Pelodiscus sinensis: one gene and its partner. The protein of the gene in region 2 interacts with the protein of the main gene of each other region in a biochemical or structural test. Links are inferred from orthologs where the notes say so. Each region holds a gene or a part of one and is shown on either strand. Other genes may lie near its edges.

Region 1 (6,940 bases), on a different chromosome or scaffold from region 2:
AAGAAAGATTTTTTTCCTGAAACCACTACCAACAACCATACCAAAGTATAGCAACATTACAGACCTGTGCCCGTTATGTCACCTACTGTAACTTTAAAGGTGAAACTTGGAAGATGTACTTGTCCTTCAGCCTTTTCAAACTCGTACTCAGGAGTGATACCACACTTCGTGCCATATTCATGTAACAACTCAATTGGTGTTTTCCCTGGTTTTGCAACAATCATTTCCTCCAAGCTACAAAGAAAAGATTTATCATTTTAGAAGGGAAATCTGTATTTAGAGCTGATTTTTAAAAAATGGGAATCGCTGTTCCCTGTTTCACTACTGTTACCAACACTTTCAAGAAATTTTAATATTGGCTCCTATGGTACTTTTCATCCACAGATCTACAAGCATTTTACAAAAAAGGGGAAGGCATCATTACGTTGTGGTGGGGAGACAAAGATATAGGGATGCATAGTACTTATCCAAGAGCCCATGGTATAGCATGCTTAGAACACAATGCAGCACCCTTCTCACTAGGCCAATATTATCTCTCAAATTTCCATCTTTTTTTTAATCAGAGGGGTAGCCGTGTTAGTCTGAACCTGCAAAAGTGGCGAGGAGTCCTGTGGCACCTTATAGACTAACTGAAGTGTTGGAGCATAAGCTTTCGTGGGCAAAGACCCACTTCGTCAGATGCATGTAACCTCTGGAAATTTCCACTACATGCATCTGACGAAGTGGGTCTTTGCCCACAAAAGCTTATGCTCCAATACTTCAGTTAGTCTACAAGGTGCCACAGGACTCCTTGCCACTTTTGCATCTTTTTTTACCAGCTCTAGCTACTGTAAAAATAAACTTTCAATGGCTAGGCAGAAGTCTGAGCTTAACCTTGTTTCAAAATGCCCAATAAGAGGCTCTAGAGGTGGGTATGTTGCCCTTAAAACAGTAAGAAAGGAAGAGTATTATAGCTGCAGCAGAGAATGGGAAAAGATTGCAATGGTTGTCAAATTTTATGTATTTATTGGCAATCCTTTCACATAGCAAGCCTCAGTGTGACTCTTCCCCTCCCCCCAAAACACACACACTTAAAAATTAAGACTTTTTTATATTTTACACTATTTTAAAGTAATAGTTGCATGTTAATATCACTTTTCACAGCAGACATGTTAGCTAGCTGGGAGATATGTATTTGCAACCCCCCACATAACATACTTGCAACTCCATGAGGTTGCATGACTCTCCATTTGAGAACTTCCATAATTAGAGGAAAAACAGGTAGCTCAGGCAGTAACAACACAATTAATTTAGAAATACACTCGAAATAAGCTCTGCAATTTGCGTAGCAGAAATTGCATAACTTATTTCCAGCTAAAGGTGCTGTGTAGACGCGCCCTGAGTTAGTTTTGGCTGCTACTGAATTGCACTGATGTTGAATCACCTCCTCATGAAGAGAAGTCTTATCATCTGTGTTTCAAGACAACTTGTCATCCTCCACTTAAGTTATGAAAAAAAATCAAACTGATCTCACTAACTGATAAAAGAAAAATTATCTGATACTGAAAGCCTGTACTGGCAATTAAGGGGAATGGGGACAAAGAATATGTTTTTCAAGTCTGGTGGAAGCTGCATGCTGCTTTAGAGGCAACTTTTCCACAGGTTGATAGGAATGGGGGAAAGAATACATTTTCCAAATAACATTCCAAGCTATTGTTGCTTTCTTCTGATCACCATGACAACTGGGAATGGCTTCAGTTACAACATGGACAAGTGATACAGATACAGAAAGTATTCACTACTTCTCCACAGCAAAGAAACAATCATTGGTGAGAAATATCTGAAGGCAACAGTTCTATAATGTGTGCAAATTCAATCTCTCTCAAACTCAGCAGGTACAAAAGTAAACAGTGTCTGGATAGCTTCTCTCCAACACACACCTAGCTATTTCAGTGATAGAAATATAGCCGTGTTAGCTATTTCAGGAACTGGTGTTTTAGGTGGGGCTACTCACATGCTTAAAGTCAAAGGTGAGTTTGTAGGATCATGGCATACAAACATTATCTTTGTCTGGCTTGGAACATGTACTAGATTTCCTTTTCCCCTCCCTGTATTAATTAAACTAAGCAACTAACTATGTTGCTGTTGGAAGTATCATGACACAAGCTCCTGCGCTTTTGTCAAATTGTCCTATGGCTCCGTTTGCGAAGCTGGGCTGCGGGGCACCAAGTGCTTTGGAGGATCAGGCTCTTACTTGCCAGGGGGGTGATTGACTGTCACTGCACCGATCAGTCTGCCCCTGCTGCTTTGCCCTGAACAAGGTGCGTGGAAGCCCCGGGCCCTGTCTCAGCTCTCACGTTCCCCCTGGGCAGGGACGCTGAGCCCTGTTCACAACGGCTACAGGCGTCAGCTCCGCAGAGAGCGGGGAGGGATCCGCAAAGGGGCTCCGGGTTGCTGAGGGGCAGGGCCAGAGGCGCACCGGCGGCAGCTACACTGGCAGCCCCCGGGAGTCGGGGCTAAGACCCAGGCCGAGGCCCCGCGCCGGCCGCCGAGACTCTGGGAGACCAGGCCGGAGGGCGGGGCGCAGCCGGTGAGCCGCTCTCCCGGGCGGAGGGGAGCAGCGCTTTCCCCGCCCGCTGCGAGGTGACGGCCCGGGCCAGCCCCAGTGGTAACAGGGCGGGGGCTCGCTCCAGCCTCTCCCCCCCCACCAGCAGTTGGTGGCCGCGGCCGCCCGCGCACCGGGAGAAGGGCCCCTAATTACCCACAATGCCCCACTGCGCCCTGACCTGCGGGCCTGGTCCTGCGCCGCCGCCGGGCTCTGCTGGGTCGCGGCCGGGAACGGGAAGGTCTCCTGAGACATGGCCGGGCCGGCCGCCTCCACCTCCGCTACCGCCACCGCGCCCGCCGAGCGCCTCGCCGCGGCCTGTGCTGTGGGCGGGGCCGCGTCGGCGCGTGGTGCGGGGGGGGGCCTCCCCCGCCTGCCGCTGCGGCCCCCCCGCCCATTGCGCTGAGCGCTCCGTGAGGGGCCAGCTCCCCGCATTACGCAGCCTGTGGGCCCAGGCTGGCCGGGGAGTGATGCACAAGCCGCCCCCGCCAAGGGAGCCCCCATTTCTTGCAGCCATTGCAGCCCGCCCTGGGGGGAGCGGTCCGGGCAGGCGCGGGAGGGTTGTAATAAGACAGTACCTGTAAGACACTGAAGTGTGGGCTGGAGTGCGGGGAGGGGGATACCGGGGTGCAGGGAGTCAGCGCCAGGGCTTGAGAGGTGTGAGGGGCAGGGGCTCAGGGCAGGAGTGTGGAGGGGCTGTAGCAGGGCTGGCCTTACCATGAGGCGAACTGTGGTGGCTGCGGCAGGTGCCGGGGGGGGGGGCACCACTAGGACCCAGAGTGTAGAAAATTGTGTCTGCTGCTGGCCCAAGGGAGGGGACCTGGGGGTAGGGTTACCAGATGGTCTCCTAAAAAATACCGAACAGCACCAGCTAAAAATTGGGTGTCCCAGTGGAAAGAAGCAGAAATTCCACCCCAGTCAGTTTTGGCTGAGCACCCACGAAAGGCACCTAAACTCAACTACAAAGCACCTGTGGGCTTCTCTCCTGGACTACAGCGCTACAACGTGCTTGAACAGCGCTCAGGAGCAGGGACAGAGCTTCTCCTCAAGACATCACTCCTCCTCAGAGGCATTCAGCTGAGGGCTCCCAGGGCCAATTGCACCCCCGCCTCCCAGCCACTCTCCCCACCCCCCGCCTGGTTTCTGCACGCAAACAAAGGCTCCCAGCACCAATCAGAGCCCCGCTTCCCAGCCTGGGACTCCCTCTGGTTGAGTGTAGAAGCTAGGCCGCGGGAGTGTGTGGGAGTCTCAGCTACCCCCGTCCCCACCAGGTTTTTGCACGCTACCACAGGCTTCCAGCCCCAATCGCAGCTCTGCCTCCCAGCCACTCCTCTGCCCCTGCCAGGCTTCCGTCCAGCACCCGGCCAGAAAAACAAAATATCGGGCATTGCACATGTCTAGTATTTTCTGAATTTTTTTTACCAGACAGAGGACACAAAAACCAGATTGGTAGAATAGCGGACACCTGGCAACCCTACATGGGGGTGTCTTTTGAGCTACCCGCTTCATGTGCCAAAATGTTGTGGGCCAGCCCTGGAGTGCAGGAGTCCGGGAAGAGGACATGAGGAGAGAGCTCGGGCCTGGGAGTGTAGCCACTGTGCACCTAAGGAAACAAAAGCATCAGCTATTGTATACAATAGGCCAGGGTCTGTGACCTGATCTAAGACTGAAAGCATGTGGTAAGAAAACTTTTCCTTTGAATCAAATGTAGTTATGTTAGCACTTTACCTTTATTTTTCTTGTAACCATTTTTTTTTATTTCTATGGCTCATTACTTGTATTCACTTGAAAGCTCTCTCTTTTTAGTCAATAAAGGTTTTGTATCAAATCCAGTGTGTTCAAGCTGAAGTGTCCAGGTAACTCAGTTGTGTGCATATTAGTCCCTTAAAGCAGGGGTCTCCAAACTACGGCCCGCGGGCCGGATGCGGCCCGCGAGGCCCTCTCATCCGGCCCGTGGAGACCGTCCCTGGGGCGCCGCCGAACGGGCCCTTCTTGCCGCGGTGGGGGGGGGCCCTGTCAGGGGTGTGCGGCGTGTACTCACGCCGCGCCGGGGCAGGAGAAGCGGGCCGCTCCAATGACAAGCGGCCGCGCGGCGGCAAACGGCGCAGGGGCGGGGGTTAGCACGGGCAGCATTCCCCCGCCCAGACTGACAGGGCAGCCGGCCAATCAGGGGGCAGGATGGGCGGTGGTGGTAACGCCCGCCCGGCGACGTGCGGGGGAACGTGAACCCCCGCGGGAACTTTAAAAAGGTGACCCCTGATTTAAATCGATATTAAATTCTTTCAGATCTCTCCTAAAACACCAGATCTAGTGCCTAAAATCAGCTTCTAGGTGAGGAAAAATGTTAATTTTTAATGCTTCATTTGTCCCTTGCTCCTTTTAAGTATTTTTCTCACTCTCTGGATTTCTTCTCGCTGGCCTGAAGGGTGAGTTTTCCCCAGTGCATTAATGCAGTGCCCCATAGCATGTGCCTGGCATGCTGCTAATTTGTTTTTGGAACAAGTACAGGCCAACAACTTGACGCACTTTCAGCAGTGCAAGGTCTTCATGGCTGAAGCAACAGCTGAGTTCCCCACGTCTGAAATATGTGAAGAACAATTTGAGAACAAACTTGTCCGATGATAATCTCAGGTCACTGTTGATGTTAGGGACAACAAATCTAAAGCCAGAAATGTGTGCTATTTTGGCATCCAGGAAACAATTTCACCATTCACACTAATACAGGTGTTCATGTGTAGTGTATCAATGTGTTATTAAATAATAACTGAATAAAATAATATTAAATAAATAATTAAAAACAACATCCATGTTTTGATTGTTTTTTATTTGGACCTCAAGTGTGTAGTCGGCCCCCGAACTGCTGTTTGATAGTTAATGCGGCCCTCGGGCTGAAAAGTTTGGAGACCCCTGCCTTAAAGGAATAATGACTCAGTATATTTGTACTGCTCAAGAGAGGGCTGTGCAGTACAGTACATACATTTCTGGAGGAAAATCTAGGACTGAGACTGTATGTGCTGTCACCCTGCAGCAGTGCTTGGTGACCTAGACAAGTGAATGGGTTGCAAGATTGTTGTAACCATGATGGTTTCCTGGAGTAGGGTAGTTTTGCTAACTGCTCTTCTGTACCTAGAATTTGTGGGTGTGCAGTTTGAACCATAATAGCACTTTGGATGCAGAGGGAACATATGGCTGTCACAGTCAATGTGTATGCATTCAGCACACACCTCACTTCATGTGCTTTTGCTTTACATACATGTCACTTTAATATTGTTAGGAAAAAGCTTACATGAACGGAAACTAGTGGAATCTGGTAACTCCACACTTAGGCAGTGGTAAACAAAATGTATTGTGGACCACACATAGAACTAGGTTGCCCATCATGCTCCACAGCAAAACTAAATCAGTAAGAGCCAAAGCTTGACTGTCTATCTGCAGCACTCATTCAGACATAGCTGGGAGTGATTTACATACTGGTGGTGACCAGTCCAGTTTGGAGTCTACATTGTAAAGGGCATCCCAGGTTATAGGAAAGGGATGACATAGCCAATCATTAGTCGGGATTGTACCTTGATATGTCACTCCTACCAAATGCTGACAAGATCAATCAACCTTCCTTCTCCTCTCCACAGACACACACCACCATCCATGAAGTAACATACTGCTATGTTCCTCTCCCCCTTTCCCATCAAACTCACAGAACAAAATTCACACCTGATCATGTAGGCAATAAAACCCAATAATGTCCTTTCTGATGCAGAAAACATAAATTTCAAGCCCTCATGACCCTAATACACCAACCTGCCAGAAAAGAGTAAACATCAGCAAAGTAAACCCTTTCAGAAGTGAAACCACAAAACACAGCAAAATCCCTACTTCCCTCACCCTATGGAGACACTAGCATACAGTAAATTTGGACAAAGTCCTATTTACTCATCAGCTAAAAAAGTTTAGAAAGGCGCTCACAATCTGAAATGTATTTATTCCAGGCTGAGGTCTTTAACAGAGCTATTATGCAGCCACTACTGAAAGAAGTCTCCTTCCCTTAAAAAAGTGTTAAGTCTTTACACAATTATGTAGCTTAGGTGGCCTGTTCAGGTGAATTCCCATTGGTAATGCACTTTGGGATCCAGCTGGATAAAAGGCACATTAAACAGCAAATATATCACTGTCTTTGCAATCACAACAAAAAAGATTGCAAAATGTAGCAGTCTTTTGATTCTAAAGCAATCATCTTACTTTCAGATAATGGCCTTATACTACTAAAGATCAAGCAAACATCTTTGTATCAGTTTACACAGTTAATGTATTATTCATTGTGCAGGATTAGTTGACATAAGGGAAGCTGTAAAAGCAATA
Region 2 (7,666 bases):
AAGATTTTAGTTTTCACTGGAGTAACAGATTTAGGAATCTGAATTGAGATAATTCTAGTAATTTGGGGAAATATATTATAAGGGGGTTTTTTTAAGTAAAGTAGCAAACAAAAAGCCAGGAAAACAACAAATAAAAAGTGTACAGTGTGTTTTATTGTATAAGTGCACTCAAACAAAACAATGTAAAACTTTTGGACTTGTAGGTTCTCTCAATCCCACTCTTCCTGAGCTAATTGGTAAAACAAGCTAATCTGTTTACATTCACTGGCAATAATGCTATCCACTTAGGGTTTACAATGTCACTTGAAAGTGAGTACACACATTTCTCTGATACTTTAGTAGCCAGTGTTGCAAGCTATTTACATGCCAGACAGAAAAATTTCATTAAAGCTACTGTTTCAAATAAAGTTCACATCACACTAATTAAGAAGGAAAGCACTATACATCTGGGGTCAAGCTTAGATTATGGGAAGTTATAAGAATAGGTTTACACAGTTCGTGAGATACATAGCATACGTAACCAGCATTGTCCCAGCTTGAGGTATGTGAATTTTTTAAAGCAGCAGAGAATACGTAGTCCTGGGAATACAGAACCACAAGGCTACAGAACCAGAGTCCATTCTGGTGAAGCACCTGGGTGGAGTGCATCCCTTGTTCCTCTGGTGTCTTGTGGATCTTGCTAAAACATTCTTATGCTTCTTCATTCTTTGACCACCATTCCTGCTGATGACTCTTGTTTAAAAAAAATGCATTCATTAAATTTGTGACTGAACTCCTTGGGGGGAGAATTGTATGTCATGCCAAAGAAGGAACCAATATGAGATATTAAAAGATGGCTACAATAGTCGAATCAAAGTTTAAGAATCTGAAGTGCCTTCCAAAATCTGAGTGGGACAAGGTGTGAAACATGTGGTCTAAAGTCTTTAAAAAAGCAACATTTTTATTCTGAAACTTCAGCACCTAAATCACCAAAAAATAAAACCAATCTTCTGCTGACAGCTTCTGACTCTGATGACAAAAATGAACGTGTGTCAGTCCACAGTGCTTTGGAGCATTATCAAGCAAAACCCATTGTCAGCATGGAAGCATGTCCTCAGGAACTGTGTCAGAAGCACGAAGGGGGATACAAATGTTTAGCATATATGGCATTTTGCAATACCAGCTACAACAGTGCCATAGGAATGCCTTTTCTCACTTTCAGGTGACATTGTAAATAAGAAGAGAGCAGCATTATCTCCCATAAATGTAAACAAACAAGTTAGTCTTAGTGATTGGATGAACAATAAGTAGGACTGAGTGGACCTGTAGACTTTAAGTTTTACATTGTTTTGGTTTTGACTGTAGGGATCGCATTACCGTACTTGTATAAAGTGAACTAAAAATACAGTTTATTTTGTTTATTTTACAATGCAAATATTTGTAATCAAAATATAGAGTGAGCAAATTTTGAATAATGTGTCAGTAGTAGGAATGATAAAAAGTACATTCTTTTGTAAACATGTAACTGCTGAAATTTTTCAGTGGTTACATGTTTACCTGTGGGGAGGGGAGGTGCGGCTCTGAAAAGCTGGCTCTCCATGAGCACCAGCTTCCATCTGCTCCCCCAAACTGCTTCCTCTGATATAGAGCACAGGGGAGAGCCATATTGTAGAATGATCACTGCAAGCAGCTGTACCATTGCTATGAGTGGCTAGCTGGTGACAGGGCTCATCATCTTGCCTGCCACTGCTCCAGGTAAGTGGGAGACTGCCGCAGCCAGCCCCCCTCGATAGCTCCAGAGAGATTGGGAGCAGGGCAAAAGCCCCCATCCAGGCTCTCCCTGGTGCCCAGGGAGAAACTGGGCAAAAGCCCCTGCTGAGCTCCCCCTTTGAGCCCCAGGAGGGGTTGGGGACAGGGCAAAAGACCCCGTCAGGCTTCCGCCCCCGAGAGGGCAAAAGCCCCTACCAGGCCCACACTGCCAACCCCCTGCCCTGAAAGACTCAGGCAACATCCGGGAAGTCTTCTAGTAACTATATATCCAAATTGTTTTCTCCCTCCCTGTACTCCCTTGGATGTAGAAATGACTTTTTCAATATTATAAACTTTTCAAAACTGCAGGACTTCAAATCCATTGTTGTGAATGGGTACCTATTGGCCTGTATTTCAGAGATATGAATTGTAAGCATACCTCTCCTTTCCCCGCAGTTTGTCACTTCCAAAGCAATAACTGCATTCACTTCTACTCAGAGGGCTGCTGGCCACTGTCCTGGGACTTATACTTTGCACCTGTAAGGGGAACAGAAGTCACTAGCACCTTCCCTTGACAGGTGACTTCCGGGTAGTCCCCAGCACTGCTCCTATTTCCTGGGCATGTTGTCACACAGCTGCAGTCTGGGATGCCAAGTATAATGCTAAGTCCGCTCTTTGGCTTTTTTCAGTTTCCAGAGATAGCAATGCCAGGTTTAGCATATCCATATATACAATACAGAACAGGACCAGAAGCCCAGATCGTGATCACCCCAACCCTGGCTGTGTGGGTCAAGCTCCAGCCTGTTCCAATTCACACTCTGCGTCCTAGAGCCCAGAGGGGGCTCTGGGAAGAAGAGGAAAAGACCCAGCACTAGCGCACCCTACCTCATCCCCGCCTCCTACCCCTGCCCCCAGCCTCCCTCTCCAGTCTGGGTCCGCAGGGACCAGCACAGCGGCGCGGGCCAACACCAAGGTCATCGACACACACACCCCTCGACCCTTTGCAGGAGCCTGCCCGGCTGAGGGTCACTCGCCCCCACCCCACCCTCGGGGCCTCCCTCTGAGCTTGCACCGCCTCGAGCCCTCCCGCCGGCCCGGCCACTCACCAGCCGCGCAGCACCCCGGCCGGCCCGCGCTCACTGCGGCAAGGGACTGGAAGTGGCGGCAGCTCAGCCCCGTCTGTTTCGTTTCCTCGCGGCGGCTTCCCCGGGCCGCCTCGCTCCTCCCACTCCGGCTCCGCGCCGGAATCGAAACCAAAAGCAGGCGCCGCCGCCCGCGGGCCCGGCTGCTCCTCGGGTGGCTGGAGCCCCGCGGGCCAGCAGGGGAGGCGGGCTGGGGCGGCCCCTCCTAGGCAGCCCGAGCCCAGCCTCGCCCCGCCTTCCCCTTTCACGGAGCAGCCGGGCCCAGGGCTCCTCGGTTCCCCCCCTCAAGCCCCCAAATTCAGCCGCCTGCTTCTCCCTGCTCTGACTCCGCTTCTCTCCGGGCCCAGCGCCCGCCCTTCTTCCTTTAGCCTTTTTCTTCTGAGCGCCCGCAAGCCCCACTCCCACCCCCACTCCCGCCGCCGGCTCTCCCTCCACCCCCACCCCAGAAGGAGCAGAGGAGAGGGGGAAAGTCCCCTGCGGGCTACCCAGGCTGGGGAAGGAGATAGGGCGAAAACCTGCTGCCTCCTCTCCCAGCCCCCAGGAATAAACCAGCAAGCAGGATGGTGCCTCCCCCTCACGCACCCAGGACAAGTCGATGGATGGGGTGCGCTCCCCTCCCCCCCGCTAGTCTGCAGAGAAGCAGGAGGACGGGGTGTGCAGCCCCCTCCTGTCCCATGGACAGGTTGGCGGCACGATGTACTGTCCCTGCCAGCCCAGCCCGCCCCCCTGGGGAGAAGCCAGCCACCTGCATTCTTCTGCCCTGAGCCCTCCTACTCCCCTCAGCTCACCCTTCTCCCAACCCCATGCCCTGATTCCTGCATCCCCACCTCTGTCCGCCTCACCCTCACTCTGGCACCTCACGCATCCCAAACCCTCTGCCTGAACTCCTCCTCAAGCCCCCACCCTGACTCCTGCACCCCTCACCTCTGCCTTCCTGCCCTGAGCCCCCCACATACTCAGGGCACTTCCCCAATTGCCACACTCCCCGCACTGCCAGCCTTCTGCCCTGAAAGACCCAGGAAATGCTGGGTAAGCCTAGTTTGACAAATGTCAGCGAAGTTAATCAAATATTAGAGTTGCCATACTTACATTAAGGAATGAAGGATGAGAAAGTTCGCTAACGTCTGTAAAAATGGTGACGAGAAGATGTGTTCAAAATGGATGGGCACAGCAGCCAAGAGCAACACTCTCCTATATCTCCCATTCATAGTATGTGTGTAGGAAGAGGGTCCCTTAAGATTAAACCTGCCTATCTATATATGTTAGAGCTTTTATGAGTCTGTTTGTGAGTCCGTCCATCTGTGAGTCAATTTGTTCAAGAACTCCTAAATGACAAGAGCTAGGGCCACCAAATTTGGTATGCAAATGTCACTGAGGAGAGGAAAGTCATTGGGGCCCTGCTCCCCCTCATCCACAGTCAGATGTGATTCAGCCAGCCCACAGAACGAAAGGTTTATTAGTTGACAGAGATACAGCATAGAACAGACTTGTCAGCACGGAAACCAGAAGCAGTCAGTACAATCCATCTTGGGGACAGGGTGCTCAGAGTCCCTCATCCCATCTCTGCATCCCAAGCCAGCAAGGGCCCTCACCCCCATCTCTGCACCCCAAGCCAGCAAGTCCAACTTTTGCACTCAACAGCCTCTATCAGCCCTGCAGCTGGCCCCACTTCCAGCCTTTGTCCTGCTTCTCCAGGCAAAGGGTGGCATCAAGTCACACTCCCTCCTAGGCTTGAGTAGGGTATGTCTACACTGCATTCCTCTTTCGAGAGAGGAATGCAAATGCAGATGAATGAAATTACAAATGAAGTGTGGATTTGAATTTCCCACGCTTCATTTGCATAATTGCGTCCGGGCACTATTTCAAAATACCCTATTTTGAAAAAAGAAACGCTGTCTAGACGCAGTTATTTTTAAAGAAAACCCTTCTTTCGAAATAACTCTTAAACTTAACCTAACATGACCCCCCAGAAGAGACATCCTCTCCCAAGGAGAAGCAGAAAACAGTGGCTCAGTCCCCTCCTTTGAGGAGACTGCAGCCTAGTCCTCCCCCCCATTGGAGGGTGTGTGAGGGGGGACAGCTGGAAGCTGAGGCCAGCCTTCCCCCCAGACAGCATGGAGGTAGGGGGGAGCCGGAGGCTGGGACCATCCTGTGGAACCCCAGCATCTCCCCAGACAAGCTGAAGGTTGCAACCAGCTGGGGACTGCAGCCCCAGTCCATGGGAGAAGCCACCAGCCAGGACATGCAGTCCCAGCCCCCACTCCCAGGAGACAGAATGCTAAGTTTGGTCCATTGCTACACATTTTAGTTTTAGAATTTGAGAAACTAGCAGTAGTCAGTGATAGAAATGTAGCCGTGTTAGTCTGGTGTAGCTGAATCAAAAAACCGAACTATGTAGCACTTTAAAGACTAACAAGATGGTTATTAGGTGATGAGCTTTCGTGGGCCAGACCCACTTCCTCAGATCAAATAGTGGAAGAAAATTGTCACAATTGTGACAATTTTCTTCCACTATTTGATCTGAGGAAGTGGGTCTGGCCCACGAAAGCTCATCACCTAATAAACCATTGTGACAATTTTCTTCCACTATTTGATCTGAGGAAGTGGGTCTGGCCCACGAAAGCTCATCACCTAATAAATGATCTTGTTAGTCTTTAAAGTGCTACATAGTCTTGTTTTTTGATTTAGCAGTAGTCACACATGGTAGTTCTGTTTCTGTCCAGCAGAGGGTAGCAGTACACAGGCAAACATCACTGGTACCAACACACAGAGATGACAAAACATTGCATGTTTTTCCAGTTATAGACTAACTCGACTGCCCCCTAAAGCTATTGCTAATTTATTTGTGTAACACTCCTGAGACCCTTTGATATTAGAGCAGTAACTCTCTAACAATTTGTATAGCGTGGGCGAGTGCTGAAAACCAATGAAAAAAAACATAAACCCTGTATATGATGTAAACCACATTCAGCCAGTGGGTGCTGCTGCATCCCTAGAACTCCTATAAGAGAGAGCCTCAAAGATGGCTGGAAATGTTTTTCCCCCTTTTCCTTCACCACTAGATGTGCTTCTGACATAGGACTTCTACTCACTATTTTTATCGAATATCAACACTATTTTCATACCCAGACCTCTCCCATTTACATCTCTTACCAGCTAAAGTATTGTGCCCAGAGCCCTCTTCAGAATGAGGTGACTCCATAACAGTCTCTATAGTTGCAGAAGCATCAGTCAGGTATGACCAGGGCCTTCTTTCAACAGCTTTTTAAAAATTACTCCATAGTTATATTCTACCATCAGGGAAAGGAGAGGTTTTTTTCTCTAGCTTGTTGAGATCGCTTCATGTTCCTAACATGACTAACATCAACACCTTACTTCAATTGGCAACTTTTGCTACCTCATTCACCTCCCTTTTTTGTCAGCAATAATCATATTAAACAACACCAGACAAAACCCGAAGACACTCTGCCTTAACCTTTTGCCAGGATGAATACTGACCATCAGCTCAAATCAATGAACTCTAAGGGCATGTCTACAGTGCAGGGCAAAAGTCAAATTAACATACGCAACTTCAGCTGTGTCAATTGCGTAGCTGAAGTCGAAATAGCTTAATTTGGCTTTTGGCTCTGTCTACACAGCAGGAAGTCAAAGGAAGAACACTTTTCTGTTGACTTCCCTTACTCCTTGTGAAATGAGGATTACAGGACTCAGAATAAGAAGTCTTCCATCTCAAAATTATTTCAAAATAACAGATTGCGGTGTAGATGCACACTTTGTTATTTCAAAATAACGTCAGTTATTCCAAAGTAACACTGCTGTGTAGACATACCTTAAAGGAATTTCATACAAGGCCACAGAAAACATAGGATGTGTTTAGGACCAAATTAACTACTGAAGCTGATCATCCAAAAAAATGTTCAAGGTGTTTAACACCCAGAGCATTCAGAAAGTTTGGATCTAGAGCAGAGCTCAGTTTGAAATAATGGCAGATTAAGAAAAAAAAATCTCAAATAGGCACAGAAACTTTGATATACTAGTCATATGTTCTACATATTCAGCTAAATGCTTCTGTCACGTCTATATAGGCCTAATAGCAGAATTTGGCCCATTATTTACTGAGTTCTCATTATTTCTTTATTTTGCAAATTCATTTGTGAAAGTCTAAATCATTTGAATCTATGCATTCCCAAATGTGAAAGGCAATGAAATACGTGATAATGTAGCATCAGAACGAAGTTAAGATTTAGTATTTGCAGTATTTATCATATTTTAGCTTTGCTCCCAGTTCAGTTCCCGCTGAACACTCTTCAAATTTGGCATCCATTTTCTGGCTCTGAGCTTCAGTAAAGAGGTTCTTCCAATCTCCAATGCCACCTGCACATGAACAATGAAATAAATTATAACATCACAGGTGAAGGGTCCTTATTAAACTTATCCACCTGAAGGTGTGTGTGGAGGGGGGGAACCCGGGTCCATTGGCCACTTGACCAGTCCTCCACCCCAGGCTCTCCATCCTCCAGCCGCTCTCCCCCATGCCCATGGGAAGCAGCCACTCACCAAATGGCAGCCAACAGCAATGCAACATTACAGGGGTGGGAGGACTCAGGAGAAGGGGGCAGCACAGCCATGCAGCCAGCTGCCAGAGAGAAGCAATGCTCTACTGCTTCAACTTGCTGCTTTTTCTTGCGAGCTGTGCAGCTTGTGGGCTCTCCATCCCCTGGCCACACCCATCCCCACCGCGGGCAACCACGGCCAGCCACTCTCCCCAACCTGTGGACAGCCACCACTCACCAGAA

The links.
Region 1: the proteins of EIF2AK2 (region 2) and PRKRA form a complex in vitro, tested with the Homo sapiens proteins (3 studies listed by BioGRID and IntAct, with this or other methods). The link is inferred for Pelodiscus sinensis from reciprocal best matches to the Homo sapiens genes EIF2AK2 and PRKRA.

The regions. Positions count from the first base shown.
Region 1 is NC_134717.1:46,432,263-46,439,202, forward strand, and holds the start of PRKRA (interferon-inducible double-stranded RNA-dependent protein kinase activator A), read right to left. Parts: upstream 3,081-6,940; 5' UTR 3,020-3,080; coding exon 2,766-3,019; exon of another isoform or gene 2,741-2,765; intron 2,682-2,740; exon of another isoform or gene 2,234-2,681; intron 1,809-2,233; coding exon of another isoform or gene 1,728-1,808; exon of another isoform or gene 1,362-1,727; intron 235-1,361; coding exon 65-234; intron 1-64. Other genes in the region: PJVK (pejvakin), read left to right, coding at 1,728-1,808. UniProt on the Homo sapiens protein: Activates EIF2AK2/PKR in the absence of double-stranded RNA (dsRNA), leading to phosphorylation of EIF2S1/EFI2-alpha and inhibition of translation and induction of apoptosis.
Region 2 is NC_134713.1:137,313,976-137,321,641, forward strand, and holds the start of EIF2AK2 (interferon-induced, double-stranded RNA-activated protein kinase), read right to left. Parts: upstream 3,067-7,666; 5' UTR 2,835-3,066; intron 2,266-2,834; exon of another isoform or gene 2,168-2,265; intron 1-2,167. Other genes in the region: sulfotransferase 6B1-like, read right to left, coding at 7,114-7,244.